Linked DNA regions of Mus musculus: all the other regions are reported to be linked to region 1. The links are microRNA targets in miRTarBase. Many come from high-throughput screens and were not tested one by one. Region 1 holds a microRNA gene; each other region holds the end of a gene's coding sequence.
What was found. The annotated mature microRNA mmu-miR-423-3p reads AGCUCGGUCUGAGGCCCCUCAGU and lies in region 1 at 4,725-4,747, shown strand. An mRNA with a match to its seed (bases 2 to 7 or 8) in the 3' UTR can be bound and repressed. Matches are read on the target gene's strand: a 7mer-m8 pairs with bases 2 to 8, a 7mer-A1 pairs with bases 2 to 7 and ends in A, and an 8mer does both.

Region 1 (10,110 bases):
ACAAAGATATAGAGACGTCAGAACTATACATGTCTATACGTGGGTAAACACAATACTATAATTCTTTTTTTAAAAGGTTTCTTTTATATGCATGGGTGTTTTGCCTGCCTACATGTATGTGCACCATCTTTGTGCCTGGAGCTGTTGAGAGGCCAGAAGAAAGTGCTAGATCCCCTGGAGTTGGGACTCCAGAGCTATGAGGCACCATGTGAGTGGTAAGAGTTGAACCCTGGTCCTCTGTCTTCTCACCACCTCTCAAAATTTATTTAAAAGTAAAAAAAAAAAATCTTTTGTTTAAAGTCATGGTATTGCACACCCACAGTCCCAATGTCAGGAAGCAAATGCAGAAGGGTCCCCATAAGGTCAAGTCTGGTCTACATAGTGTGCTCCAGTCCAGCTGGACTTACATATCAAGACCTTGTCTCAAGAAACAAGGGAACGGAGAGATGGCTCAGTGGCTAAGGTAACTGGCTGCTCTTCCAGAGATCCTACATTCAATGCCCAGCATCCATGTGGCAGTTCACAAACTGTAGTTCCAGAGGACCTGATGCCCTCTTCTGATGTGCAGATGTACATACAGACAAAACACCCACATATATAAAATACATAAATAACTCTCAAACAGATCCATAAAACCCACCAAGAAGTGTTTAAAGCAAAAGTAGTAATTATTTTGCCCCCTTTGACAAATAGCACAAGCACATCACTACCGTATGTGACTGGAAACGTTTTACATTATAAACAAAGTGGCAAAGTGGGTTTGTATGTGTGTCTGTTTTGGCTGTTGGAAAACAGACTTAGGGCTTTACACATGCTGGGCCAGCACCCTACTGCTGACCCACATCCCTCAAAGGTGGCATGTGATAAATAAGGTGTATAGTAGAGGGCAGGTGACTGCAGCCCAGTGGATGGAGTGCTCCACATTCACTGCCTATGTAGAATATACTGGGCATGATGGTGCATGACTGCAGTCCCAGCAGTGTAGAGGAGAGCAGGAGGCTCACAAGTTCAAGGTCATTCTTGGCTAAAGAGATTCTAAAGTAAAACCTTAGAAAATTATAAGCATAGAATATGGTTAATACAAATGAAGGCTGGATCATAGATCCAATTATAAGATCTTCTCTATTAACCCAAAACATGGCAAAATAGTGTCTGGGAGTGGGTAGTGAGTGTAAGACCCCCGAAACTGGGGAGACCTCCGCTCAAGTCCCGGGATGAGCTGGCCGACACCCCAATAACTCGAGAGAAAAACCACACTTGATGCAAAGAGGCTTTATTGTCAGCTAGCTGAGGACGAACTCCTTTTGCCACGCGGGGCAGGGGAGTTCGACCCTGAGCGGTAACAGTAGGGGGTTTTAAAGGAAAAAGTGAGGAATTGGGAAGAGTTGGGAGGAGTTTGGTTACAGCTCTTCTCTGGTGGGTGTCCTTGGTAAAATTATAAGCCATGAGGAGTGGGGAGTGAGTTGTATCTCTTCTTTGTGGAGTTTATCTCCGTGTCCTTGGCACAGGGAGCCAGGCAAGTGCCTGGCTAGGTCTTTTTACAATTATTGCATCTCTGGTTGTAAGGTATAGAAACAAAAAGGCTTTTTGCTGGCTATAGAGAACAAAGAGCTTCTTTCTGGCTGTATTTTTAGAGATCAGGGAAAACAAGCTTGGGGGAAACACTTCAAGTCAGGATCTCACATGAGCAGAGAACATATGGGGAAAATGAGAGCAAATGATAGGTGTTTATAACCTGTGATGGTTCTTCTCAGTTGTCAACTTGACTATATCTGGAATGAACTGCAATCCAGAAATGGTGGGCACACTTGTGATCTGGATCTTGAGCCTGGAAGACATAGGCTTTGATCTGAATCTTGAGGTGTGATGTCACAGGCTTTGGATCTGGATTGACACAAGCCTTTAATCCAGATCTTGAGGATACCTTTAATCTGGGCCATATCTTCTGTTGGACCTAGATAAGGACAATGGAAGGAAGCAGTTTATTCTCTATTTGTCCGCTTGCATTCACTTTGCCGGGACATCTGTTGGAGCCTACTTCTTCAGGCTGCAGCTTATTATAGAAGACCAGCTGAGACACCCAGCCTCATGGGACTGAGCCACTACTAGATTCTTGGATTTTCCACTCACAGCTATTGATTGATTGTTAGGTTAGTTGGACTGTAGACTGTAGCCTTCAAGTGAGTGTGTGTGTGTGTGTGTGTGAGTGTGTGTGTGTGTGTGTGTGTGTGTGTGTGAGAGAGAGAGAGAGAGAGAGAGAGAGATTCCATAAGTTCTTTAACACTAGAGAACCCTGACAAATTGGGGCTGGAGAGATGGCTCAGCTATTAAGAGCACTGACTACTCTTCCAAAGGTCCTGAGTTCAATTCCCAGCAACCACATGGTGGCTCACAACCATCTGTAATGGGATCTTTTGGTGTGTCTGAAGAGAAGGACAGTGTACTCACATATATAAAATAAATAATTGTTTAAAAAAGGCATACTATGCTAACATTAATCAAACAGAACTGGTTATACAAAAACAGGAATGAATAGAGTCAATTTTTTTTTTCTTTTGCAGTGCAGGAGTTCAAACCCAGGGCTTTGAGTATGCTAGGTAAGTGTTCTACCTTTGAAACATAAACCCAGATCTCAGTTTCAATTCTTAATTATACCAGAGTTATTGTAACAGGACACCACTATCCCACATGTCCACATGACTTCCAAATATATGGGGGTGGGTGGAGACAGATCAGAGAAACAATTATGCAGCCTTTTTATAGCTGGTTACTATAAGTTGTTAGGACCTGGGTAACATGTTAGGGCCTAGGTAACTGTTACTTGTCTAGCCTGCCATTTTGTGCTGTTACTAAGGAATCTTATATGCTGTCACTGCTGTTGCTAGGATGTTCTGTGCTTCAGTTTCTTGAAAACCAATCACAAGCAATTAGAACTGCTTTGTATAGTTAGCCACGCTAAGCTCGGACCCAAACGTGAGCACATGTATATGGTTTTTACTTTTATAAGCTGCTCCTGGGATGGACCCCAACATAAGAAGCCATTTGGAATAAAACTTCCATTTTGAGCAGGGGTTGAATAAAGTTCCTACCTAAGACATCCCAGGGAATTGACATCCTACTTGGTAGAAAGAGGCATGTACATGGATAACTGATGTCCTGGTTGGCAAGTTAAGACATGAATGTTAGGCAAGTCCTCTGCCACAGTTGAATACCTCAACTAATGAGAACAGGATAAGTGTACAAAAAAAAAAAATGCTTCTGATGAAATTGCCTAACTCTAAATCCTGATTGGTGGAGTAACTTGGCACAGATGTTTGTGGATTTTAGGCTTAAAAGCCCTATAGGATCTTAACTCAATGCCACAGTCAGCTCCTGAGTTTGGTCTGTGGACCTGATTTTTCAGTCTTGGGGTGTGATATTTAATCTCTATTAGACTGAGATTGGTGTCTGAGTGGTTTGTACGGTAATTCCCAGACACCAACACTAGTTCTAATTTTTTTGTTGTTGTTTTTGTTTTTTGAGACAGGGTTTTTCTGTGTAGCCCTGGCTATCCTGGAACTCATTTTTAGACCAGGCTGGCCTCGAACTCAGAAATCTGCCTGCCTCTGCCTCCCAAGTGCTGGGATTAAAGGCATGCGCCACCACGCCCGGCTTTTTAAAAAAAATTTTTATTTTTATTTTTTTGGTTTTTCGAGACAGGGTTTCTCTGTATAGCCCTGGCTGCCAACACTAGTTCTAAATGGTGGATGCACAGATGAAATGTAGCCAGGTTTTGTCTTTTAAAATGGGGTGGCACACTTGTGATGAGTTACTGTCATTTAGAAGGCTGAGGCAAAAGGATATTCTGGACTATAGAGCAAGATGGTCTCAAACAACTGCACTGCTAATATCAGTTCTCGGCGAGGGTGCCTGCATTTCCAGCATTCCGAAAGCTGAGGCAGCAAGATCTTGAGTTCTAGGACAGTCAGGGTTATATTATATAGAAAGGCTTTATTTAAATAAAATAATCAGTTCACATTGAGGTTCTATGGCTTTTCGGTTTTTTTAGTCACTCAGAGCCAGCTACACTGAGCAGCAAAACAAAGCAATAGATGTGTAGGGAGCCGTTTTGAAACTCATTAAATTCAGATAATTGGGGCCCACTCCGACTCGGTCCGGATTCAGCAGGCGTCGCGGTTGGACGTGACTCTAACACTATCTCCAGTGACGAGGCTCGTCCCCGGAGCGCGGTCCACGAGCCTCTCTCTGGACTAGAACTTGGTCATCGCCTCCCCGCCCTGACTTTAAGACTCTGAGCCGAGCCGCATCCTAAGCAAGACACAGCGGTAGGCTCAGCGGCTAAGCGAGTACCGGAACCGGAAGTGCGCGTATACACGTCGGCGTCAGCGTCTCGTCACGTCCGCGTCGACCAGGTCCAGCGGAGACGGGAACAAGATGGCGATCCCGGGCAGGCAGTGAGTGATGGGGAAGTTAGGGTCCGGCTGGGGAGTAAGAAGCCAGGGAGACTGAGTCTTTAGGCCGAGGCGTCTGAGGTCGCCGGAAGTGCAGGGCCACCCCCGCCCCGGTTAAAGGCGGGAGAAGGCGAGGAATTCCGAGCCACTTAGGTTCCCCACCCCCCGTCCGGTACATTTTTCCAGGTTGCAAGCCCGAAGTTTGAGAAACTTGTGAGGAAATAAAGGAAGTTAGGCTGAGGGGCAGAGAGCGAGACTTTTCTATTTTCCAAAAGCTCGGTCTGAGGCCCCTCAGTCTTGCTTCCTACCCCGCGCTTGAGTTTCTCCCGGTTGGATGCGCTCAGGGGCACCGAGAAGAGAAACTCCTGGTTGCCTTTGAGGGCCTCGTTCTCCCTGGCAGATGCTCAGGCAAGACCAGCCTCCCGCCCTCCCTCCTGGGGTTACGAGTGTGGTGCTGAGAAGCCACAGAAAAGAGTAGGCATATAGGAAACTGGTCTTCGCTGCCGGGAAAGACACAGATACGGTTTACCTGCCTGGAAATTTATTCTTGGGCGTGTAAACCTTGCAGTGCCAAGCATGTCCCGTGGCCTTTGCATTTTAAAGCCAAAACCTCGAGAAACGAAACGTATTAAATCTGGTGATGGCCAAACCCAGGCACTATTGCATGTGCCAGCAAGATTTTGCTGAAAGGACCCTGATATAGCTGTCTTGAGTGAGGCTATGCCAGTGCCTGGCAAATACAGAAGTGGATGCTCACAGTCACCTATAGGATGGACCACAGGGCCCCCAATGGAGGCGCTAGAGAAAGTACCCAAGGAGCTGAAGGGGTCTGCAACCCTATAGGTGGAACAACAATATGAACTAACCAGTACCCCACTGGAGCTCGTGTCTCTAGCTGCATATGTAGCAGAAGATAGCCTAGTCGGCCATCATTGGGAAGAGAGGCCCATTGGTTGTGCAAACTTTATATGCCCCAGTACAGGGGAACACCAGGGCCAAGAAGTGGGAGTGGGTGGGCGGGGGGGGGGGTATAGGGAACTTTTGGGATAGCATTTGAAATGTAAATAAAGAAAATATCTAGTTACAAAAAAAATGTGGTGATGGTTTTCAGAGGCGCTGAAGCAAAGCAAACGAGCCCAGTGGACGGATGGGAACTTGCCCCCATGGTGACTTGCTCGCAGACAAAAGCAATTGAGCCAAATAAGTGAATGGGGACTTGCCCGAATCTCTACGTGGGTTTCTTAGTCAATTTTTCAAGATCTTAGCTACTGTGTGGGAAAAAAATCAGAGGACAGTTTAGAACATTTTGGTTTTTAGCAAGTTTGCAAAAACCACTAGCCTGTTTAGGATTCCTGTCACTTCACTATCTAAAACATTGCTGTAGTCTTCATTTTCTCCTTTAGTAAAAATGTTTTGAGTTTGGCCCAGGTAGACAAATAATAATAACAACTATAAAATGACATTAGAATTTTGAGGTCGTTGCAAAGCGGTTAGTCCATTATGTGTTCATAGGTTGTATGACATGTTTTGATTTGGGAAGTTCATAAGGAAGAAGTAGTGGATGTGTTATGTTCTTTAAATGTTTATGTTATTTAAAGATAATGGTGCGATTTCTATTTCAAAAAAAAATTACGCAGGTATGGGCTTATTTTGCCAAAGAAAACACAGCCGTTGCACCGAGTTTTACAGAAACCGTCAGTGTTTGGGAGTGATTCTGATGACGATGAGGTAAGGGGCCCTATGCTTAACTCATGTATTTTAAAAACTGCTTGTGAATTTGTCTTCACCTTTGTTTATCAGTACAGTGGTTCTGGAGTATCTTTACAGACCCTTCAAAAAAAAAAACAACCTTTAAAAAGCACTCAATTGCTATTTTCTGTATGACCAAAGATGACCCCCCCCCCCATAAACTTAGTCATTTTTAGATAGTTTGGTACACTCTTTATAGTCACTTAAATACCAGTGACCTAGCTGGCTTGGAATTTAATGTGTAGACCAAACTGGCTTTGGACTCATAAGGCTCTGCCTGCTTCTGCATCTGCCCTCTGTGTGCAGGATTAAAGGCCCGTGATTCAGTACCTAGCAGTGTTACATGTCTTTGTTACTTAGGGTACGTGGCTAGGCTTTGTAGGATCTAATTCTGTTGTAAACTGAAGGCCATCTGCATAATGTCGCTTTCAACCAGTTTAGAGTTCATCGACAGAGATGCATGCAAACACTGAGGCAGGCTGAAATGTGGAAAGAAAAATAACTGAGGATTTTTCTGTGCCTACTATACTTTGATCTTCACAATTACCCTCTATTACTTTCATTTTACTGATGAAGTTGGAATTCAAATAGGTTAAGGAATTTTCCCATTACTAGGCCTTGCAGCTCATAAATAAATGGCAAGACCACGGCTCAAACACAGCAGACGGATTAGATGGTTCCGACCGTAAGTCACCAGCTATCCAGCCTGGCAGCCTGAGCTCAGTGTCTGGGTGGAGGGAGAGAACTGACTCTCAGTTTGTCCTCTGACTTCCACTTGTATGTCGTGGCCCCTGTGTGGACACACACACACACACACACACACACACACACACACACATACACACAAGCAAATAGATGCAATAATAAGATTTGAGCACAGGTCTATCAAATTCTAAAATCTACATTTTTTTCCCATTCTTCTTTCTTGCTTTATTTTGATAATAGACCTTTAAAATGTTAGTGAAATAGAGAGGACAAAACCGCTCATTTTGCTGAAGAAATACCCAGGCAGGAATAGGCATTTGGACAGCTTTCAAAGCTGGTTTAGATTTGAGTAAAAAAAAAAAGTGGAGATCATTTCAGATGAGAGAGAACAAAGAACATAAAGTAGAAGGCATTTTTATGGAGTGATAAGTTTAGAGAAGAGAATGTGTAGAGCAAAGAAATGTGGCAGTGAGGCTGTAACAGGTTGAGCCCAGATTGTGGAATATCTTGCACTGTTTGTATGAAATGTCAACTTTACATACGGAAGTAGGTTTTTGAGTACTATGTTTATAGTTTACTTAGTGATGCCATCCCAGCTTTATGTTTATCTTGAGAAGATAACTCTGGAATTGCGAAGCACAAAAGGAGAGAAGAATCAAGAGCTTTAGGCCAACCTGGGCTATAGGTATAATAAGAGCTTGTCTCAAAGAAATGAGTTTGGGGAGGAGGCAACAAGAGTCAAGGGTCTTCTAAGAAATCTTATATGGAGATGAAGATCTAAGCTTTGGTTCCCAAGCTAATGGGAAGCAAAGAGAAAAAATAGACTCTCAGTAGAAACAGGCAGTCCAGAGATAGATGGGAAAGGAACTAGATGATGCTAAGGGTTTATTTCATATTTATTTATTTTGTACGTGGGCACACGTATGCCATGATACTGCCACACACGTGGAAGTCAGAGGATAACTCGGGAGAGTCAGTTCTTTCCCTCATCATGCAGGATCCTAGAGTTTGGGTGTTGCAGGCTGTCGGCCATGGCAGTAGCACCTTCACCTGCTGAGGCAGCCCTTCTAAGAGTGTGTTTAGGTAGCTATGCCTAGCTCGGGATGTAGGGGAAGAGAATTGACATATAGCATATGGGTTTTTCAATACATTGGAAACGTAGATGCAGTTTTAGAATTATTTATAGAATATTTATTCATTTATTTATTTTGGTTTTTCAAGACAGGGTTTCTCTGTATAGCCCTGGCTGTCCTGCAACTCATTCTGTAGATCAGGCTGGCCTCGAACTCAGAAATCCACCTGCCTCTGCCTCCCAAGTGTTGAGATTAAAGGCGTGCACCACCACCCAGCTTTTTCATAGAATTTTTAAAGTTTCCTTTGCAATTTTTATGTATGTATATGTGAGTGGACACACTCTTGCTATGGCACACATGTGCCACTCATGGGACAACTACTGGGGCAGTTGATTCTCCTTCTGTGTCAACCCTAGGGATCAAACTCAGATATAGTGACAATTACCTTAACCCTCTGGGCCATCTCTTCATGTCTGCCTTGCCTTTAAGGTTGATGTGTGTGAGCATTTCTATGCCAGGTGCATGTGTGCAGGTCAGGACAACTATGGAGAGTTGTCTGTCACCTTGTAGTCTGTGGAGCTGACCTGGACCACTCTCCTGTGTTTGTGTCTTATCTGTCATAAGAGGCCGGATCACAGACATGCACCACCACATCTCACTTTTTTCAGGCTGTGTAGCAAGCACTATTACCTGGCAAGCACCTCATTGACTTAGTTTCCCCTTTTAAGAAAGTACTGTGATATAGTCTACATGCCATATATGTCTGTTTTAATTTTAAAATTATATTTATTTAGTGTATGTATTTGTGCATGTGTGTGTCTGTATGATTGTATGCGCCATGGTGCTTGTGTGACAGTCAGTCAGAGGGCGACTTGTAGGAGAGGGTTCCCACCTCCCGAATGTGGGTCTGGGTCATTAGGTTTGGTAGCCCCAGCCCGTTTCACCCTTTTACATTATATGGTTCATTAGTTTTTAAATAATTGTACAATCATTACTAGCTAATTTTAAAGTAGTTTTAGTAGTTTTATCACCCAGCAAGAAAATGGTATCCATTGTAGTTGCTCTCCAAACTGTGGCAACCTTTCTGTTTGTGTGGAGTCTTCTGACATTTCACATAAATGGAGTTTTGTAGTTGGGCAGAGGGGGTGGGAGAGTGTTTTGTCTGGTTTCTTGAAAATTAGCATAAGTATTCTTAAAGTTATAATGCATCAGTGTTTTTTTGGGGGGGAGGGGTGTTGTTTTTGGGTTTTTTGTTGTTGTTGTTGTTGTTGTTGTTGTTTTTTGAGACAGGGTTTCTCTGTATAGCCCTGGCTGTTCTGGAACTCACTTTGTAGACCAGGCTGGCCTCAAAATCAGAAATCTGCTTGCTTCTGCCTCCCAAGTGCTAGGATTAAAGGCGTGCGCCACCACGCTCCGCTTGCATCAGTGTTTTATGCTCCTTTTCATTCCTTTAATTTTTTTAAAGATTTATTTATTATTATAAATAAGTACACTATTGCTGTCTTCAGACACACCAGAAGAGGGTATCAGATCTCATTACGGGTGGTGATTTGGACCTTTGCAAGAGCAGTCAGTGCTCTTACCCGCTGAGCCATCTTGCCAGCCCCCTTCCTTTAATTTTTAATTTTTTTTTTTATTCCTTGCTTTTCTGCAGATAGAACTTGGGACCTCACACATGACTAGTTTTTCTTTTTTTTAATTAACTTTAATTTGAATGTGTGCATGTGTGTGAATGTTGTGACTTAGGCACTTGTGCACACACATGCAGAGGCCGAACAAAAAAGTCAGATGTTTCTTCTGTCGTTCTCCTTACTGCCTTGAGACAGTTTTCTCACTGAACTGGAAGCTTGCCATTAGGATTAGGTTTTCCAGCTAGTGAGCGCCCAAGATCCACCTGTCTACATTCCCCAATGCTGGGGTTATGCTCTGCTTCTTTATGGGTCCTAGGGATTCAAACTCAGGCCCTTATGCTTGTACAGCAAGGGCTCTTACCAACTGAGCCACCCCTTCCCAGCCTTTAGTATTGAATAATGATTCATTGTACTGCATTTTATTTAGTCATTAGTTGGTGTGAATATGAGTTTCTGGCTATCATAAATAATTAGGAACTTCAGTATGTGTATAGATATTTG
Region 2 (10,110 bases), not on the chromosome of region 1:
AGGACATTAGATTCAGAGATTTCCCTAATTCTTCTCTCCCTTCTAACCTTGTTTCTCTTTTACCCAGTGTTGGAGTTAAAACCAGGGGATAAAAGAGGGGAGCAGAGAAGAACCCACAAAGTAGCAAAGACAGGTACAGGTGAGTTTGTTTTTTCTCCGCCTGAAGAAGAAGAAGAAAAAAAAAACCCTTCCAGTAATTGGAATCTAACTTATGCATGGTGCAAGGATGCTACAATTGCTACAGATGTTACAGATGCAGATGCTACAGTTCTCACAAGGAAACAGTTATGACAAAACCCTGCTAAATGTGGTGGTATGCACCTGGAAAAACAGCACCAAGGAGGACTTACAATCCAAGCCAGGCAGGGGTACTCAGTGAAAGCCAAACAAAAGAAAAAGAAAGAAAACAGCAGCTGGGAGTGCGAGTTTGCCTTGTGTACCTAGCCTCTGGGTTCCGTCCCCAGCAGCACAAAAATCAACATCATAACACAGAAACCTGTAGAAAATTGGTTAAGTAAAAACCTCCATGTAGGTGCTCAAGTGTACCACACGATGGCGGTAGAGGACAGTAGTGACCTTTGCAGCATTCACTGAGTGGCTGCAAAGAGCAGAGAAGGCAAGGATGGGAATTCTCAGCAAACCTCTGAGAGGCTACTTAGGAGGAAAGGGAGACCTAGAGCCTCTGTAAGTACAAATGTTCCTCTTACTGTTTTCTTCAGTAGCCATAATGGAACTAAATAGGGAGGAGATTAGAGGAAACTGTGTATGGAGGTGGGGTGACAGGAAATTTTAAAGTCACATTTCCACAGCAGTCCCAAAATCCAACAGGACAAAAATGACTATGGGAAGAATTCATTACAGAAAGAGGAACCTGGGTAGATGGAACTATTCCATTTCTATGACATTTATTTACTTGTGGGGCCTGGAAGCATGAATATCTTTTACCTTGTGGGTCTTAGGGATCAAACACAGTTTGTCAGGCTTACCAGCAAGCACCCTTACCTACTGAGCCATCTTACTAGCCCAAGTTTAAAGTAAATGAGAGGTATAGGTGTAGAGCCCTTATTACTTTCCTTTTATAAGTGGATTAGATACATCAAACTTTGCTCAGAGCTAGAGGCATCCTGTTAGACTGTAAACCTGAGTACAGTACAATCCACACCTAGACCATAGCACTTATGGAACGAATGCAGAAGGGTCATGAGTTCAATTCCAGCCTAGCCTACATCGTGAGAGCCTATCACAGAGAGAAAGAACAGAAAGTCCTGTGGCTGAGAATATAGCTTGGGCTACAGAGCTCCGGCTCTTACAATCTTCTCTCCCCCTTTGCCTTTAAGCTTCTTGGGTTGGCTAGATGTATCAGTGGGCAAAGGTGCTCACTATACAAGCCTGGTGGCCTGCTCTCGGCTCCCAGGAGAGTATGCATCATAAAGTTGTCCTCTGAGCGCCACATCCGTGTCACATATGAGCACACACCAATACCAAGTGAAACACAGCAACAACCGAGCCTGAGCTCAGTGGGGGAACATTTAATTAGCATGCACACAGCCCTGGGATTCAATTCCCAGATAATTTTTTAAATGGGCACCTAACTAGTTTTAAGCATATTACTTGTCTACTCTGTGCTAGCTATTGAGAACAGAATATTAAATGAAGTCATTCCGTGCCACTGTGAAAAAATGGTGCATATTTATTTAGATAGACAGTCCAGAGTTGCCCAGGATAGCTTTAGTACATATTTATTTAGATAGACAGTCCAGGGCTGGCAAGATGGCTCAGTGGTTAAGAGCACTGACTGCTCTTCCAAAGGTCCTGAGTTCAAATCTCAGCAACCACATGGTGGCTCACAACCACCCGTAATGAGATCTGATGCCCTCTTCTGGTGCTAGAAGTCAGCTACAGTGTACTTATGTATAATAATAAATGAAGCTTTGGGCTGGAGCAAGCAGGGACTTAGTGATCGGAGTTGACCAGAGCGAGCAAAGGTCCTAAAAATTCAATCCACAACAACCACATGAAGGCTCACAACCATCTGTAGAGCTACTGTATACTCACATATATAAAACAAATAAATCTTTAGATAGACAGTCCAGTGTAGCCCAGGATAGCTTTGACCTTGGTACGTAGTCCAAGATGGCCTTGAACTCCTGACCCTTCTGCCTCCATGTCCCAAGTGCTGGCTGGCATTATAAATAAGTGCACCACACTGAGATTGTGTAGGAATAGGGAAAGAACTCAGGACATTATGGGTACTTGGTAGGCAGACACTGCAGGCAGTCTACCAACTGAGCTACACTCCCACCCCCACCCCACCCCACTGTAAAATTTGTTTTAAAGACAAGATCTTAGGTAGTTCAAGCTGTGATCAAACTCATTAAGTTGATAACAGTGGCCTTGAACTCTGATCCTCCAGCTTACATATTTCAAGTTTGTATCACTTTAAATCTTCTCTTGCCAAAATAAAAGGCACATTGCATCAGCTGCCTGAAGAGGATCTCCTGCCAGTCAAGACCCACTTTAGATAGAGAAAGCCCCTAAAAATAGCCATCCATGTGCGGGCTCAACAGGTGATTGGCTCTGAGAGGGGAGGAGAGCCTCTCGACTGGGTGAAGGAGACAGAGAAGGACAGTGCCATTCCTAGCCTCCCTTTGACAATGGCTCTGCCTCTAAAGGTCCTGAGCCGGAGCATGGCCAGCGCAGCCAAAGGAGACCATGGAGGGGCAGGAGGTAAGTGGGGCCAGGCCTGACTCTGATTTAGTAGCCTAGCCGATCTGTTCTCTTTGCCCGGCTTCCCCCTCCTTCTGTCTCCTGGCTCCTCTCTCCTGATCTACCAGGCACTGATCTTTCAGACCTCTAGGCCCAGGGATAGTTTTTGCCTATGAATCTACTCACACCCCACCTTTGCTCCTCCAGCCAACACCTGGCGCCTCCTGACCTTTGTGCTGGCTCTTCCCGGCGTAGCCCTCTGCTCCCTTAACTGCTGGATGCACGCTGGCCACCACGAGCGCCCAGAGTTCATCCCGTATCACCACCTCCGCATCCGAACCAAGGTACGCCAGAGGATGAGCGAGTGAGAGCATGCAGGGGGATTGCGGGGAGGGACTGTGGTGGGTGACCTGTCTGCCTTCTCTCTGCAGCCCTTCGCCTGGGGGGACGGCAACCACACGCTTTTCCACAATCCCCACGTCAATCCTTTGCCCACCGGTTATGAGCACCCTTGATGTCTCAGCAGACACGCTCTGCCAGCAATCTTCAAATTGGCCTTCTGCACACCGGCTCTGAGAGCCCCTGAGGTTCCAGTGGACAGTTCCAAGCTCAATAAAGGTGTGGAAGTTTTGTGTCCTCTGGCTCTTTGGGAACAGCATGGTGGAAGGGGCTGGGCAGGCTCTTGGGCAGTTGGTATCTGGGTTCCAGTTATTTTTTTTTATATAAGGAAAATGTGATGTTTCCACCTGCATTTTCATTTTATTTTTTAAAAATTTATACAAGCAATACATTGAATATTGAGCATATTACTCAGTCTTGTGTTAGTTCTTATCCATATGTAAATTTATGCTGACCCCATTCCTGCTCTTGCAAAAAAAGTGGATCAGCACTGAAATCTGACACATGGGCAAACCATAAAAATCTCCCAGCTCAGGAGGTAGGGCATCATTTCTGGGAAGTTTCCCAGGCTAGCCCAGAGCTGAAGAGAACTTGTTCCCATGCCAGTAGATTCATAGGCAAAAGCAAAACCAATCTCGTAATTGTGGAGATATACAGGAAAGTAGATTCCTAGGACGTGAGATGTGGAGGAGTCTCATGGTTGGAATCTGCCTGGCCGGCTGGGTCAGGATCTGCAGATGGTAGATCCAGCATCTCTTTATACTGACGTTTGAAGAAGCCAAGCTATAAAATGTAGTAAAGTCAGAAAAACTGGGTAAGAGGGAAGTTGAAGATGAGAGAACTAAAATAACTTCCAGCTGTGTGTCAGGGCAGCCATGTGAATGGCCCTCACGTACAGAGAAAGGCCATGTGCCAAGCAGTCGTTACACTCTTAGTTGTGGGAGGAAGCCACAGGCTCATTGTCGGGCAGATTTGTACATATGGCATGTCTGCTTCAGTTTAGCCATTCTGTGATATAACTTTCATTGTTATTTCAAAAAGGAGAGATGGAAAAAGACCAAGCAAATGTGATAGGAACAGAATATGTGGCCAAGCCTGCCCTACAACTACGATCTGTGTTCTTACTGTCGTATGGTGTGCACGACAGAACTGGTAGTGAACACTAGTAGTGTTAGGAAAATGATGTGAAAACAATTTACCTTGTACAGCGCCACAGTGATGAGAGCCAGTAACAGCAGACCTCCCACTGAGCTGAACACCATGAGGAAGACGGGCTCATAGACCACGTATTCTTCTAGCATCGTTGACACCTGATTTGAAAATCAGTGAATGCTCATTCTTCTCACACATGCACACAAACACTCATACACACAGGCACACAGTACACACAAACACACACACACGCACACACACAGTCATATACATATGCACATATGCGCACTCATATACACACATGTGCACACAAACACTCATGCACACAGGCACACAATACACACAAACACACACATGTGCATGCATGTGCGCACACATGCACACACACAGTCATATACACATGTACATATGCGCACTCATATATACACACACAGGCACGCACACACTCATATGTCCACACACACACTCATATACACCCACACACATGCACACACATGTGCTCACACACACACACACACACACACACACACACACACACAAACACACCCCTTTACTATTCCCCCTCCCTTGCCAATGCCCATGAATGCTTCCAAGCATTGAGCCACAGAAGCATTCATGCATTCTGAGGGTCTAGGAACCTCTACCCTCCGTCCAGGCTGGCAGATCCGCAGCCAGCACTACAGACTGAAGAACATTCAGAGCCCTCTCACCAGCCTGGCAGCTGCCTGCCACAATCACTACCTGGGCTCTCAGAAATGCCTCCTGTCCCGGCAGCTGGGAATACACAGATGTGTTGAATGTGATTTCAGCCTCACTCAGGAGCAACACCTTTTTCTGCAATGTCTGCAAAAGATGGGGTGGGGCAGAGCTGGGAATTAGATCTGGGGAAGCTCAGGGTTCAAGGACTGCCCTGACCCAAGGATGCCCCAGACCCATCGGGCACACATGGTCCAGGGGAGGACTTCTGCTATTGGCCACGCACCTGACTGATCCAGCCGAAGCTGAGGTTGCCCTTCAGAATGAAGTCAAGCTCATCCAGGGTGCCCAAGGAGGGGATGTCACAGCGGAGGTGCAGGCAGTCGGCGATGGCGCAGTCCTGGGGGCAGGAGGGGGATAAAGCTGAGGAGGAGGAGGGCCTTTACTTAGAAAGAGACAAAAAGATGAAACAAAGGCTGGCATTGAGTAGAGAATATACAATCGCAGGCTGACTACACAGTCAGAGTCATCAGTGCATTCCGTGCGTGTCCCCAGCACACGGGCTTTTCTCACCAGCACAGAGCGTCCTTGGATCTGGGTCAGAAGGTCGGAATGTTGAGGAGGTTCCCTCTGTGACACACAGGAGACACCCTAGGAGTGGGGGAGGTGATCAGAGCATGGCATCCTTATAGAGAGGGATTCTGGAGAGAGAACTGCTACGGGCTGTGTACCTGTGCTGGGCTCCTCAGAGTCACATCCCACACGGCCACACCATTCAGAAGGATGGGGACCCAGAAGTTAACGCTGATGGCCAGCGTCAATGGACTCAGGTTATTCACCTGCAGGAGTGGAGACCAGGTATTGGTATGATCCCTAGAACACCCCCATTTATTTCCTACCCATAGTTCTCTAGTCTTCTCCATCTTGAGCTGAGACCAACACACGTATTCTCTAGCTTCTCACACGATATCGATGTTCGGCCTCTTTCTGTCTCTCCCCGTGGGAAGATGAGAAGTTGAAATGCTTGGTAGAATCTTCCTGCCTGGAGAGAATGACATGTTAGTGAGAAACCGCTCCGACGCCATCTCCGTTTGAATCCCAGCTCGCTGTACAGTACTGGGTCCAGCAGCTGATGCAGGGAAACAACGATGGTCTTCAAATGCATCTGCAGCCTCGGTGCCAGCTTCCACTCCTCTCCCCACAGAGCCTTGCCAGGCACCGGAGTTACCAGCTCTTCCCTTGATGCGCTGACTTCTTTATGCCCCCAAAGATCTGTTCCAGCTTTCTTTGGCAGGAAATGTTCTTAACCGAGTTCCAGGGATTTTCACTCAGAGACCCAGCATCTGCACATTCCTTGTACTGATTGATCGCCATTTCCCAGTGGTGAGAAAGCGCTTGTATGCCCCCTCTAGCTGGTAGTCCATCAGATGGGAGGTGGCCTCAGGAACGCCTACAAAGTCTTCTGCCAGAATAAATAAGCCTATGGGACTCTACAAAGGGAAGGCTAGATTACTTGGGACAAATGGAGTGACCCTGTCTCTGGTGGCAGGCATGAAAGCAGATATAGTCGTGTTGGGGCAGGCAAACACATATGGAAGGAGTTGGCCCAGGAACTCAAGCCAAGAGGGTCCCTAAATGCCGACAGGTTCCTATCTACTGGTTGTATTTGTGAGATAGGCTCAAGTCATAGCCTAGACACGCCTTAAATTCACAGCGATCTTCCTACACCTGCCTTCCAGATGCAAAGATTATGACACATCTGGCTTACCCATGGCTTTCAGTAGACATTTGCTATGTTACAAAAGATGGTGGGAGGGGCACAGGAGGAATAGGAGGGGAGAGAGAGTGAGGGAGTAGGATGTGTAAATACATTACTCATGTATGAAATTATCAAAAATAAAAATGTAAATTAAATAACGAAGAACATATTTACCTTTGAAAATGTATTATCTAATACCACTGCTCATATGAGTAAAATGTTTCACACACACAAGTCTTTTTGTGGGGCGTTTGGACAGTCCTGGGGATTTCAGAAGTTAAGCCGTGGTCCCCGCCTTCCCAATGCTTGATGATGTCTCTGATCTCAGCAGAATTAAGCAGGAAGGCACAGTGGTTCCAGCACTCGGGAGGCAGAGGCAGGCAGATCCCTGTGAGTTCAGGGCCAGCCTGGTCTACACAGTGAGTTCCAGGACAGCCAGGGCCGCATAGTGAGACCTTGCTTTTTGTTTTTGATTTTTTTAAAAAAGAATTGAGCTCTAAGAAGGGCCAACATGCTTCATCAGCACCCAAAACCTCTGCAGAGCCCCCCCCCCGCCCCGTTTCACGCTATCAACTGGACATTTAAGAACACAGAGGAGACTGGGGGTGTGGCTGTGCCGGGCACTTGCTTAGCAAGCTCTAGGCCCCAGGTTCAGTCCTCAGGCACTGCTGAAGAATTGCCCAAGTTCGCATCTCAGACCCACCACTTCCTACTCAACAAAGTAACTTGGAGCATAAGTCATTTAACCTCATTAGAGTCCCGCAGAAGGCTGTCGCGGCACCCCCCACACATGAGCTCTCTATAACCGTTGGGAGTTTTCTCTTAGCTGGGATTCCTCTGTGCCTCCCAAACCTCTTCTGTCTCTGCTTCCCTTTTCTTACTTTAACATCTCCAGCTCTAAGCCTCTTTCCTTTTAAAAACAATTATTTTACATGGATTTGTTTATCTGGGGGAAGGCATGTGCCACTGTGCACATTTAATGTTCCCTGACTCTACCATGTGGGCATCAGGCTTGCCAGTGGCTTCACTCTCTGAGCCATCTCCTCAGGCTTAAACATCTTTTCAAAGCTGAGTAGAGCTCTCAGCCTTCCTCCATCTTGAGAGGACACAAACCCTCTCTGGAAGAAGCCCCTGGGCCCTCCTGCTTGCTTTGGACCACATAAGCAGCCCTGTCACACAGGGTGGCCTTGTACAAGACATTCAGTGTGGCTTACCTGGTGAATACAGGGGCAGGTTATTAAACCTCTTGAATTTTTTTATTGGTAAAAATAGAGATAACAATGTGGTTATCCAGAGGATTAAGTGAAATTACTACGAGGAAGAAGAAGAAGAAGAAGAAGAAGAAGAAGAAGAGGAGGAGGAGGAGGAGGAGGAGGAGGAGGAGGAGGAGGAAGAAGAGGAAGAGGAAGAAGAGGAAGAGGAAGAGGAGGAGGAGGAGGAGGAGGAAGGAGGAAGGAGGAAGAGGAGGAAGAGGAGGAAGAGGAGGAAGAGGAAGAGGAGGAAGAGGAAGAGGAACAAGTAACTCTTCCCAATCCTCACTAAAATAAAAACAATAGTATATTTAACTGTAAGCTGTGTTTTCCTAGGGAGAAAGAGGAAATTCATACATACAATCCATGGGTCATGTCACTGAAAATGACACATTTGATCCCCCTCCAGTCCTCCCATGCACTCAGTGGCTACAGCCACAAACCCCACCAAATGGATCTCTCAATGGTGTCCCAACAGCTCTCCACTCTGCGGAGTAACCGTCCACTCTGGAAAGTCCCTTGCTTGCTTCTAGCTTACCCTGCCCCTGCATTCACCTACGCACCTTCAAACCCCATAGCAGCAGCTTTGCCCTGACTCTCCCACCAGCTCTACCCTCCTCTGACCTTGCTTGGCCCCTGTGCAGAGCAGACCTATCCTGTTGGGTCAGGCTCCTGAGCACACAATGCCCAGAAAAGTCTTGCCCTCGATAGCCTAGCTTCACGCAGTGTCTGATACCACATCTAGCACTGAGGGAAGCTTCCTGGGAAAGGAAGACAGCACTGGAAGAAGAAGAGTTAAACAATGTGGCAAAGCCATGTGCCACCAGCAGACCAGTATACCAGAGCAGTATACAGCTTTTCATGGTGTGTTACAGATGATTAGACACAGACCAGACACAGACACAGACACAGACACAGACACACAGACACACAGACACACAGACACACAGACACACAGACACACAGACACACAGACACACAGACACACAGACACACAGACTCACAGACACAGACACAGACACACAGACACACAGACACACAGACACACAGACACACAGACACACAGACACACAGACACACAGACACACAGACTCACAGACACAGACACAGACACACAGACACACAGACACACAGACACAGACTCAGACTCAGACTCAGACTCAGACTCACACAGACACAGAAACAGACACATAGAGACACAGACATAGACACAGACACAGACACAGACACAGACACAGGCACAGGCACAGGCACAGGCACAGGCACAGGCACAGGCACAGGCACAGGCACAGACACAGACACAGACACAGACAGGCACAGGCACAGGCACAGGCACAGGCACAGGCACAGGCACAGGCACAGGCACAGGCACAGGCAGGCACAGGCACAGGCACAGGCACAGGCACAGGCACAGGCACAGGCACAGGCACAGGCACAGGCACAGGCACAGGCACAGGCCACAGGACACAGGCCACAGGACACAGGACACAGGACACAGGACACAGGACACAGGACACAGGACACAGGACACAGGACACAGGCCACAGGCCACAGGCCACAGGCCACAGGCCACAGGCCACAGGACACAGGACACAGACACAGACACAGACACAGACACAGACACAGACAGACACAGACACAGACACAGACACAGACACAGACACAGACACAGACACAGACAGACACAGACACAGACAGACACAGACACAGACACACACACAGACACAGGCACAGGCACAGGCACAGGCACAGGCACAGGCACAGGCACAGTCACAGACACAGACACAGACACAGACACAGGCACAGGCACAGGCACAGGCACAGGCACAGGCACAGGCACAGGCACAGGCACAGACAGACACAGACACAGACACAGACACAGACACACAGACATATGGCTGGAAACCCACACAAGACTTTCCATGGGAGGAAGCTGAGCGGCTGCTCCAGACTGGACACAGTTTGAGTGTGTTCTCCGAGGGTTTGTATGTTGGGAGTTTGGCCATCAGGTGACCATGTTGGGAAGGGGCGAGACCTTTATGAGGGGAGAACCTAGGGGGAAGTTGCCCGACTGGAACCTCCCCTTTGCTTTGCCTCCCTATTCTAGCTGTGTGATCATCTTCTAGCTCACCGTTCTGTCATTGGCAC
Region 3 (10,110 bases), not on the chromosome of region 1:
ACTGTGTCTGTTTCTCTCTGCAGGTGGCCCTATTGAATCCAATTGAAAACCCCGACCTGAAGCTGGCCATCGTCATGCTGATAGTCCCCTTCTTTGTCAATGTCAGTGCCTTGTTGAGTGTCTTATCCTAGCTTGTACCCTGCCACTAAGGTTTCCTGTTCAACACTCTGAGTGTGACACAAAAGTCACCTTTACAGCCTCAGACAATCCTTTCTATCTGTGTAGCTAGTCCGTCCCCTAACCAGTATTGAACTTGGTAGGAGTCCTTCCTCAGAAATCAGGTATCCATTCTAGGGCCCCTATTTCAGGCAGAGGATCCTAGGAACTATGACTTGCCTTCCCTGATAGGCCACTTTGCTGAGAGATCCCAGCCTGTGGGTGAAGTGTGTGACTTCTAGAACAGGGTCAAAGCGTTCTCCAGGTATTTGCTATTGAGTATAGACCTCAGAGAAGCTCTTGAGCATAGTGGCCTCATGTGGAGAACCAGTGATGTAGAGCGCTAAAGGAATCGGGGGCTCCCTGAAGCAGCAGTGTCGCCACCTGTGAAGGACCCATGAGGCTCAAAACGGGCAGAGACTGGGGTTCTTGGCCCGAAACAGGCTGCCTGGTTTGTTTGTTTGTTGGGTGTTTTGGGTTTTTTTTTTTTTGGTTTTTGGGGTTTTTTTGTTTGTTTTTTGGTTTTGGGTTTGGTTTGGTTTGGTTTGGATTTTGGAGTCAGGGTCTCTCTACACAGCCCTGGCTGTCCTTGAACTCACTAGAGTAGACTATGCTGCCCTCAAACACAAATGAGTCTGTCTCTGCCTCCACAGTGCTGTGATGCAGGGTGTGCGTGCGGCACCATGCCTGCCTCTGGGCTGCCTGTCATTTAACCCAACAATAAACCCATAATTGACCACAGCAAGAATTACCCTGCTGTCCTCTGATCATAAAAGTACAGCAAGTGAAAGAGAGCCGCTGTTTCTCTTGGATGTTCTGGGAGACGTCAGGGCTGAGTGCGGCTTCTCTTTTGTCTGTGGAAGGGGTGGGTATGCAGCCTTCTGCTTGCTTTGTTCTGATTTATCCAGAGCGACCTACACCTTTCTCTTCCCACAGGCTTTCATGTTCTGGGTAGTGGACAATTTCCTCATGAGAAAGGGGAAGACGAAAGCTAAACTAGAAGAAAGAGGAGCCAACCAGGACTCAAGGAATGGGAGCAAGGTTCGCTACCGAAGGGCAGCATCCCATGAGGAGTCTGAGTCTGAGGTATGAGCCTGACTCTCCCCAAGGGCGTGGCCATTATACCTTGGGCTCTGGGGGTCTCTGCTCTTAAGTTTGTACCTGAATTCGCAGTGCCAGTCAGAGGGAAGGAAGAAGCTGAGCTAAAGAATAGCTCAGGTCGCTCAGAGCCTCATTAGCGTGAGCCCAACATCTGCTGTTACATGTGCTGTCTCAAGCCAAAAGGACGTAGTATGTAGATTTGCTATAGACCATTGCTGCGGCAGCGGTGGAGACAGCTAGGTAAGGTGAAATCTGCCTTACTCCAGGGGAGCGTTAAAGTACTTGGAGCCCTGTTCTTCATGAACAAGCAAGGGAAAAACTTATAAAATATAGGACTAGCTAAACCTCGCAGAGGTAACCTCGTCTCCCTCTCCCCGCTGGTGCCTGACATAAGGAAGGTGCATGAGGACAGATAGCACAGGGCTGGGAGTGTGTCCCTTGGGCAGCAGCATCCGTGACCTGGGCCTCAGTGTCTGCGGAAACTCCATAGTGCCAAGTGCTGGGCTGCCAGTGGGAGCTAGAGATGTGGCTGAGATTAGCCAGGCTTGTGGCACATGCACATGGCTTTACTCCTGCACTTGGAAAGTAAAGGCACTTAGATCTCTGTGAGTTCGGAGTCAACCTAGTCTACATAGCAAAGTCCAGGCCAGAAAGGGCTATATAGTGAGACCTTGTCTCCCCCAGCCACCCCCAGAGTGACTGAGATGGCTGCCACCCTGAGACTTGAGGATGAGGAAAAGCAAACGCACAGTTGGTTTACCACCATGTGTGCAGTACGTCTGACTGAGCATGCGCACCAGCCCTGGGGAACCCTGGGCAGGCTGGAGGAGTTTTAAATGATGAATAGATTAGAAAGCAAGCCCCAATTTTCTCCAAGTTTGTATCTGGTTATAGGGCTGTATTACATCCTAATAATTGGCCAACATTTGGCAAATGACAAAAAGCCATAAAGCAGAAACTACGCTTATAGGCATTCACAACCACATGGTCTGGTCTCTGATATTAAAGTGAAGTTCACATTGGCCAGAGCAGGGAGCCGTGAGCTATCAAGTGACTCTGTCCACAGGAAGGGTAGTGAGGCTGTTTGTCCCACCCCTCAAGTAGGAGTTCACATTCCCCAGCATGGCTAGGCTTTGGGCCCTTAAACCTTCATGCAGGCCATTCCGATCTTCCCGTGGTAAGCAGAGGTCTAAGGCCAGCAGCTGCGGCAGGAGTGAGCAAGTTTGTCCTCAGTGTCCTGGCTGCATGGAGGGGTAGAGCGCTTCCCTCTTCATCTTCATGACAGAGGTGGCTCAAGACAGCCCCTCTGAACCTACACTGCCTGACTGGTCCCTGGGATGACTCCAGTCCCTTTTGAAAGACACTGTGTATGTAAGGGGATTCCAGGACCCTGAGATTCCAGGCGCCTGCTTGGCTTTGATCAGCTTTGGGTCTGGCTGGAAGCCAAGTGAAGGCATTGATTGGGTAGGGGGTGGCAGATTAGGGGTGGTGACTTCAATGCTAGCTTCAACAGGCCAGCACATCTCGCTGTGGAAGAGGGGACTTCCCTCAACCCTCCTCTGAGGGTGTGGGAGACATGGGGCCTCCCACAGGGGCTGGGTTCCAAGGAGGACACAGCACAGAAGGCGCTGGAATCTCAGGCCTTGCCTCTTGACCGCCTCAGATCCTGATCTCAGCTGACGACGAGATGGAGGAGTCTGACGCCGAGGAGGACCTCCGGAGACCTGTGAAAAAGAAGCACCGCTTCGGGCTGCCTGTATGACACATTCCCACGCTGCGGGTGACAGTCCTGGGGCCCAGCCCTGCAGCAACAGCGTCTCTGCCCTCCTCTCTGCCCTCCTCTTCTACCTCTGCTCCTCCTGCTGTCTCTGCCCGCTCTCCACCCGCCCCAGACGACTGTGACTTAAAAGAGGGAAGAGGACCCATGCCCGAGGGGGCTGTGGGCAGCTGGAGTGCCCACTCAGTTGCACTACAAACACTGACCAAATATGCAAGCGAAGAGCTTTGTTTGTTTGTTGTTGTCCCTTAGGGGTTCTGTAAGACCCCCTGTCCTGTCTGACCAGGTGGCATGGTGGAAGGAAACAGCACACAGACTGTTGCGGGTCCTGGAGCTGAGGCTGCCGGCCTTGTGGACAAGCGCTGTGCTTGAGGTTAGCAGTTGCTGGTTGACCCAAGTTGGAACAGGAATGCTTTCTTAACTCAAAATGGCTTTTGTAACTCTTTATTTCTAAAGCCAGTTTTATGAGCTGTGACAGTGTTACTGTTTTTTGAGTATGTGTTCATTTCCTACAAAGTATCTATGGGTCTAATGGGCAAACAGATTTTTAAGTCTTCCGTATACTGTTGGACTTTTATATTTTTAAGTTATATTTTCATACTATTGTATTTAAAACTCTTTTTAATCCCCAAAGACATGGATTTGTTTGCCTTTCATGGGGAATGAGCTAGGGGGAGGTGGGTAAAAATGAGGAGTTTTGGAGGCAGGAATATTGTTAAGTAACATCGATGGTGAGATAAACGGCCCTGGTGGGAAGGTAGAGAGATAGCGCTTATCTGCGCTCACAGATCCATAGTTAAGGTCAGAACCTGCACAGGAGGCAGCTGCTCCAGTGTGGGGACAGACAGAGCCCTGCCAGGGCATACAAGCTGCCGTGTTGGAGGCAATGGTTAAACTTCACTCAGGAGTTACACGTTTGTGTCCAGAGGACTCAAGACCGCCTCCGGCTACTCCTGTTGGTTTCCTGCCTATCTCAGTCTCTAAATTGCAAGTGTTAGAATGGCCTCAGCCTTGACTGCCTGTACAGCAGCCTTGACTGTACAGCAGCTTGCAGAGCCAACCTTTGCCCTGGTCTGTCACCAGCTGCCACCTGCTTGCTTGCTTAGCTGTCTAGAGAACTCTTCCTGGCCGGAAGAGCCTGTCATGATGCCCTACAAAGTTGTGAAATAACTGCAGCAGAGCAGACACTGGTGTGAGTCGTGTTTGAATGTGTAGGTTGTATGAGGCATTTCTAACTGGCTCCTCTCTGCTGGCCACACCCACTCCTCAGCCGGGCTGTGGTTTACCTGTGGGCCAGCCTGGCCTGGCACTGTCCCTGCTGTGGGAGCAGCAGGGCGGGACTGTCTGATGGCCTCTCAGTGGTAAGGAGCACAAGAACACCCACCGCCTCACGGGCTGAGGCCTTAGGTGAGACAAGCACAGAGGACAGCTCTCCTCAGAACCCCTAAGCCTAGGTCAGAGTGTGCTTTGCATAAGCATACAGGCTCTAAATATGCTTGTGGCCCGTGACCCTAGCCCTTGCCCAGGATACCTGGGCTGTCTTCTGCCACTTGAAACCTTCCTTGTCACAGACAGAAGGGTATGCTCTGGGTGGCCCTCTCAGCTCACTGTCTAGCGCAAGTCACTGAGAAGAGTGAGTCTGCTGTGGGAGGCTGCACATTCCTGTCAGGCAGAGGCCATGACCTGGAACGGGTCCGCCAGGCCCTGCCTTGGTCTCAGTTCCCATTTTCTTCCATCGTTCAGCAGTGGTCATTCTCTCCCCTTCTCTAGTGAGCTTCCACTGAGCTCAAACTCCTGGTGAGCTGGTCAGCGCCCGGGTGTTGCTGACGTCATCCTCACGTCCCCTTCCCCTTTGCTGTGCTTTAGCTGGCCTTTGCTGCGCACACCCCTGCCATCCCTCTGGAGCTCAGAGCTGAAACCTCATTTTCAGACTCAAGCTCCTGGAGTTTCCAAGCTAGACACAGAGGTGGGGGAAATGCTGTTAAGGACGGAAGGATGGCAACTCCGGGTGCACAGCCTCACAGAGGTGGTCTGTAAGGTCCTCCCAGCTCCCAGGCACAGGGCCTGGAGGACAGGAAGCAAGTGAGTGCAAGTTCCTTCTGCACCCTGATTTCCGCTAAGGACTGTCGTCTCTGGGCTGCAGCTGTGGAGTTGGCTCAGTAGGAGAGGAGGTCCAACAGGGATCTGCCACTAGAGCCTGTCTGTGTGCAAGCGTGGTGTGTGTCTGTCCTTCCCTCTCCCTGTGGATGTGCGCATGCAACCATACAGCAAAAGCACATACAATTCCGCATCCCTTGGGAGAGCCTCCGGTGGCCGACAAGGCCTTTCTGTCACCGTGGTGCACTGTCTCACTGGAGTGGATGTAGAGGGCTCTGGTCAGGACTTCTTCCTGAGCTGTCCCCCCTCCCCGGAACAAGTGTCCACATCACTTGTTCCAAGTTGCCTTATGAGGTGGGACCCTTTACTGGCTGATTGCGGGCGACACCGAGCTAGGGAAAAAAAAAAAAAAAAAAAAAAACAAGAAGTGTGGAATGCTGACCTAGCTGTGGTGTGCTGTCAATCTGATTTGTCCAAATAGGTACCTTGGCCAAGCTGCTCTTGGTAGAAGCTTGCCAGCCACGGTGAAGAATGAGGTTTTTTTGTTTTTGTTTTTGTTTTTGTTTTTTTTTTGTAACTAACAGAAATAAACCAATGAGAGAGAGCTGACACCTAACTCGGAGACATGGTGGTTGCTTTTTTATTTCCTTTACCTGTTGGTGGGAGTTTGGGAAAGGCAGCGGTGAATGGTGAGCTCCCGTGTGGCAGTGGTCCGGAAGGTGTGTGAGGTGAGACTCTGTGCCCCTCAGCCCTGGGGCATGTTGGGAGCAACCTCCTGCCTCAGATGTTAAACTGTGAACTCCCGAGCACCAAAGGAGTCGTGGGTTCATGTCACCTCTCCTGCCTCCTTTCTTGGGGAAAACAAAAAGATTCAAGTTCAAGTTGTAACTTCTCTTTGGCAGTATAGGCCTGCTGGCTACAGCTCAGGATGCACATCTGAAAGGTGCCCCAAGACCTTGAAGGAGCAGACCCAGACTGTCCCTCCTGCCAGGCAGCAAACCTTATAGGATGTAACCTAGTCTTGTTTTGTTTCTGTTTTTTTAAGACAGTTTTACTGTGTGGTCCTGGCTGTCCTGGACCTAGCTCTGTGGATCAGGCTGGGCTCATACCCAAAGATCTGCCTGCGTCTGCCTCCCAAGTGCTGAGATTAAAGGTGTTCTCCACTCACCCCCCGACCCCCGAAGTGAGCTAACTCTTAAATGAAGATTTCCACAACTTTCAATGGGAGACTTGTTCATAGTGCGGGGCCTGTGGTCAGCCTTGCTTTGAACACCCTGAGTCCTGAGTGGGTGAGTGGATTGGTTGGTGGACTGGTTGCCTGGTTTAGTTCTAAATTTTTCTTTTCCTGGGTTTACTTAGAAGTCAGACCTATGAGTGACTTCAGCTGCCAATCAAGGCTGTGTACGCAGTCATGAGTCACAGAAACCATCCCACCTCAGCTGCCAGTGACACTTAAGCATGGTGTCATGCATGGGTCACAAAACCACATTTTTTAGATGAAAGAGAAGATGGTGTACTTCCATTGTAAACTGGTTTACAGTAAATTTTCACATCTTATTATATAAAAGAAGAAAAAGGAGGAAAAAACCCAGCACTTTTGTGGTCGTTGGTTGTGTGCCCTGTGCCCTGTAACTCACAACCAACTCAACGGGTTAATAAACCTGATGGCTTGGCTGCAGTGGGCTCAGAGTCTGCGATGAAAGGAGCCTAGCGTGGTCTAGCCATCATCCTGATGAGCCTAACCCGCTTTTCCTCCTGGGTCGTGAGAGCTGGGCATCCCTTATCCTTGTCCTAGTCAGCCAGCTGTGGGTACTCCTCACAAGGCATGGCCTGGCCTCCCCTTGGAATCATGGGTATTGCTCAGGTCCCTGCGTATAGACCTGATGGTGCACACACTGACCTACTGGGAGCCAGGCCCAGAACCAAGAATGGGATAGAGTTCGAGGCACAACAGCTATGGAATGACATTTAGGATGACTGTTAGTGCCTGGTTGAATTTCATCTGCCTGGTGCCTTCAGGGATAAACACAATGTCCATTGTAGACGGGAGGGAGTGGAGAGAAGTCTAAGACAAACCTCCAACCCACATCTACCACAGCCCACCTCAGGCTTAGGGTCCCTGCATTGCCACCAGTGATCTTTCCATGCAAAGATGAAGTTAGTGGTGGGTGCTAAATGATTTTCCAAGGGAGCTCTACTCTTTACTACAGCTTAATAGCTGAAGTGGCATTCACCCCAGCCCTCTAAAGTCCTGCCAGCCAGCTTCCAAGTGTCCATCTTAGACAGAAGCCCTCTATAGGCCTTTACTAGCAAGCATGGTCTCCTCCGGGCCTATACTGTACCTTGCTTTGTCTCTTTATTAAACTTGTCCCAGGGCTGGCTAGAGGACCAGGACACCAACAAGACTGTGATATGGCAGCTCCACAGGGTCTCGGCCTTCCTGGCTACTCACTCTGAGTTGGCTGTGCTCACCATGAGGAAGTGTTTCCAAGCAACAGAAAGGAAGTTTCTCCCCTGCTAATGTGCTGGGATGGAAAATCTATTTCCAGTGGAATCCAGGAGTAGAAGAGAAAGCTAAACAAACTCAGAGCATCCACCCTTGTTCAGGGCCCTCCCTCTCCTCAGAGACTTCCCCTCCCACCCCTGCCACTGGGATGGGTTCTTGCAGTCAGCCTGGGCAGGCTGTCTCACACATTCCAGGGTTCACATTCATAAACACAGTCTGTGAACAACAGTGCCAACACCTCCCACCGTCGAGTAAGCAGCTGTCCCCAGAGATGCGGGGTCCCCGCGGCCATCTCCTCTCACCAGGGCAGCTGCCCATCATCGCCAAGAATAAACTCCAGCTAGTCGCTGCGTGGATCTGAATCATCTGAGAGCTTCCAAAGGAGGGGAGTGACTACCCAGGACGCACAAGCAGACTATATAAGTTCCCAAGGGTTGGGCCTCACGCAGATCCTTTCCTGTGGCTACTGCCTGCCAGAGAGCTACCAACAGCGAGCTTGCTTGGCATCCAACATGTCCGAGGTAAGGAGGCCCAGAAGGGACTAGTTGGTGCCAAGGAAGTTGCGAGGGCAAGGCTGGACACTAAGTAGTAGTGCCTGCTCTGAAGTAAAAGCCAAAGCTAAACAGAAGCACCGTGGCCCTTCCAGGCTGGCCTCTGGACACCCTGGGTCTCACCAGGCTCTGGTGAAAGGCCTTGACACTTCAGGCGTGTGAGGGGTTGGAGGTGGGGAGTGCCTATATAGAACTGTGCGCCTTTGTATGGAGATGAGGGAGCTAGCCTTGCTGGCTTAGTGTGTCCTGATGTGTACACATTTGTAATCTGGAGGAAGGATGAGGGGCGGAGACTGTACCTATAGATCTGTCTGTCTCCCTGTGAGGGTGTGTCTGCAGGCCTGCGTTTCCCTGGGAGCTCAGCCCAGGCTGAGTGAGGGAATCCTTGCACCTGCCTGCAGGGCTTAAGAAGGAATCAGGTGTCAGCCTCACAGGCGCCCGCCCGGGTGGTAGAGAAGGGTGAGCACTAAATCTGGCTTTCCCGGCTCTACTGGGCAAGAACAACAAGGTCATCCTTGCTCCTTTCTCCATGGCTGTCTACCCCGATCCCTCCCCAAACACAGTAAACATCAGTGGTTTTGTTTTAGGGAAAGGGGGGAGGGGCAGTCTTACGGACTTCACCACCTCTGTGAACAGATCTTAGAATTCCTGAGATTACCAAGGGCTCCTCAGTCTTAGAGTTCATCTTTTTGCTCTCCGCCCTTGTGTCCAGTCCTGAACTCGGCCTGACAAACAGGCCAGTGTGAGGATGCAGTGGTCACCACCCCCAGGAGTTCCCTCCCTGTCTGTGGGGAAAGGTCAGATGTCCAAGTCAGGCTAAGAAGGCAGGGAGGTGGCGGGGAACTTGCAGTTGGGAGAGGAGTGAGCTTTGAATCGGCTTAATTCGGAAGCCTGGGAAGGAGGAGCCCCCGCCAAAGTTGGGGGGTCTTCATCTCAAGGCATTGAATTGTAAGGCTCTCGACTTTTCCAAGGCTGGCACTCCTGAAGGCCCCATCAAGAAGAAGCGGCCCCCTGTGAAGGAAGAAGACCTGAAGGGGGCCCGAGGGACCCTGGCCAAGAACCAGGACATCAAGTCTAAGACATACCAGGTCATGCGGGACTACGGTGAGTGTCCCCCGGGCATGTGGTAGAATTGGAGACACAAGCATCCCCCGGTGGTAGCTAAGAGGTGTTGAGGGTCTCTGGGCATAGGAGGGGCTGCACACAGCATAGGGAGCCCTGCCTCTGAGAAGACCAGTTTAGGTCCCTGATGTCACCTCCTCCATCTCTTGCCTCCAGAGCAAGCCGGCTCAGCTGCCCCATCTGTATTCAGCCGCAACCGCACAGGCACCGAGACAGTCTTTGAGAAGCCCAAAGAGGGACCAGCCAAGAGCGTGTTTGGCTGAGACATGCACATTGCACCATCCACCCGGACACAGGAGCCTCCCCACGAACTTTTTTTTTTTTGTAATGCTGGAAGATGCCTTTCCTCTGCTGTCTCTTGAACCATCATGACTCCCACAACCCTAGCCCTTGGAAACACCAATAAAGAGTATGCCCAATGTCCCCAACCTTGGGACGTTGCCATGGCCGCTACCTGCAGAAGAGAGGGAAGTGTGGGGACATAGCATATCTGGTGCCCTTCCTGGACTCTGAGGTGGGACAGGGAATAATGTGTGTGCTCTCAGAACCACTGAGGTGTTCCAGGCAGAGCCTTAGCCGTGGAGTCCTGGTGCGGACTTTCTGATGCGTGTAGGAGACAGTTCTTCCTAAATCTCTGTTTTAGGCTGGGAAGATGGTGCCATAGCTAAAAGTACTTGCCATTTCTTTAGAGGACTCTGGTTCAGTTCCCAAATATCCTCATGGTAGCTCATAACCATTGAACTCTGCCACCCTCTTCTGGCCCCTGCGGGCATTGCATTACGTGTGGTATGCCTGTAGTC

Region 2: miRTarBase lists Cox6a2 as a target of mmu-miR-423-3p. The part of its 3' UTR that is shown has no 7-base or 8-base seed match.
Region 3: the mRNA of Stimate is a reported target of mmu-miR-423-3p. Seed matches in the 3' UTR shown: 7mer-m8 at 5,518-5,524.

What each region holds. Positions count from the first base shown.
Region 1 is chr11:77,072,723-77,082,832 of GRCm38, reverse strand. Mir423 (microRNA 423) reads left to right here and starts at 4,661; the gene lies at 4,661-4,769. Nsrp1 (nuclear speckle regulatory protein 1) reads left to right here and starts at 4,396. Exons shown (of 7, transcript NM_001012309.2): 1 at 4,396-4,454; 2 at 6,089-6,179. The coding sequence starts at 4,435.
Region 2 is chr7:128,198,840-128,208,949 of GRCm38, reverse strand. Cox6a2 (cytochrome c oxidase subunit 6A2) reads left to right here and starts at 2,584. Exons shown (of 3, transcript NM_009943.2): 1 at 2,584-2,727; 2 at 2,914-3,050; 3 at 3,138-3,515. The coding sequence starts at 2,655. The coding sequence ends at 3,221. Itgad (integrin, alpha D) reads right to left here. Exons shown (of 31, transcript NM_001029872.3): 25 at 5,917-5,995; 26 at 5,685-5,792; 27 at 5,527-5,604; 28 at 5,240-5,353; 29 at 4,999-5,100; 30 at 4,305-4,415; 31 at 3,446-3,888. The coding sequence ends at 3,775. 4931431B13Rik (RIKEN cDNA 4931431B13 gene) reads left to right here and starts at 5,622. Exons shown (of 3, transcript NR_045183.1): 1 at 5,622-5,811.
Region 3 is chr14:30,871,458-30,881,567 of GRCm38, forward strand. It overlaps Stimate (STIM activating enhancer), which reads left to right. Exons shown (of 8, transcript NM_028839.4): 6 at 24-101; 7 at 1,093-1,242; 8 at 2,921-5,753. The coding sequence ends at 3,019. It overlaps Mustn1 (musculoskeletal, embryonic nuclear protein 1), which reads left to right and starts at 7,800. Exons shown (of 3, transcript NM_181390.3): 1 at 7,800-8,158; 2 at 9,160-9,292; 3 at 9,467-10,110. The coding sequence starts at 8,150. The coding sequence ends at 9,573.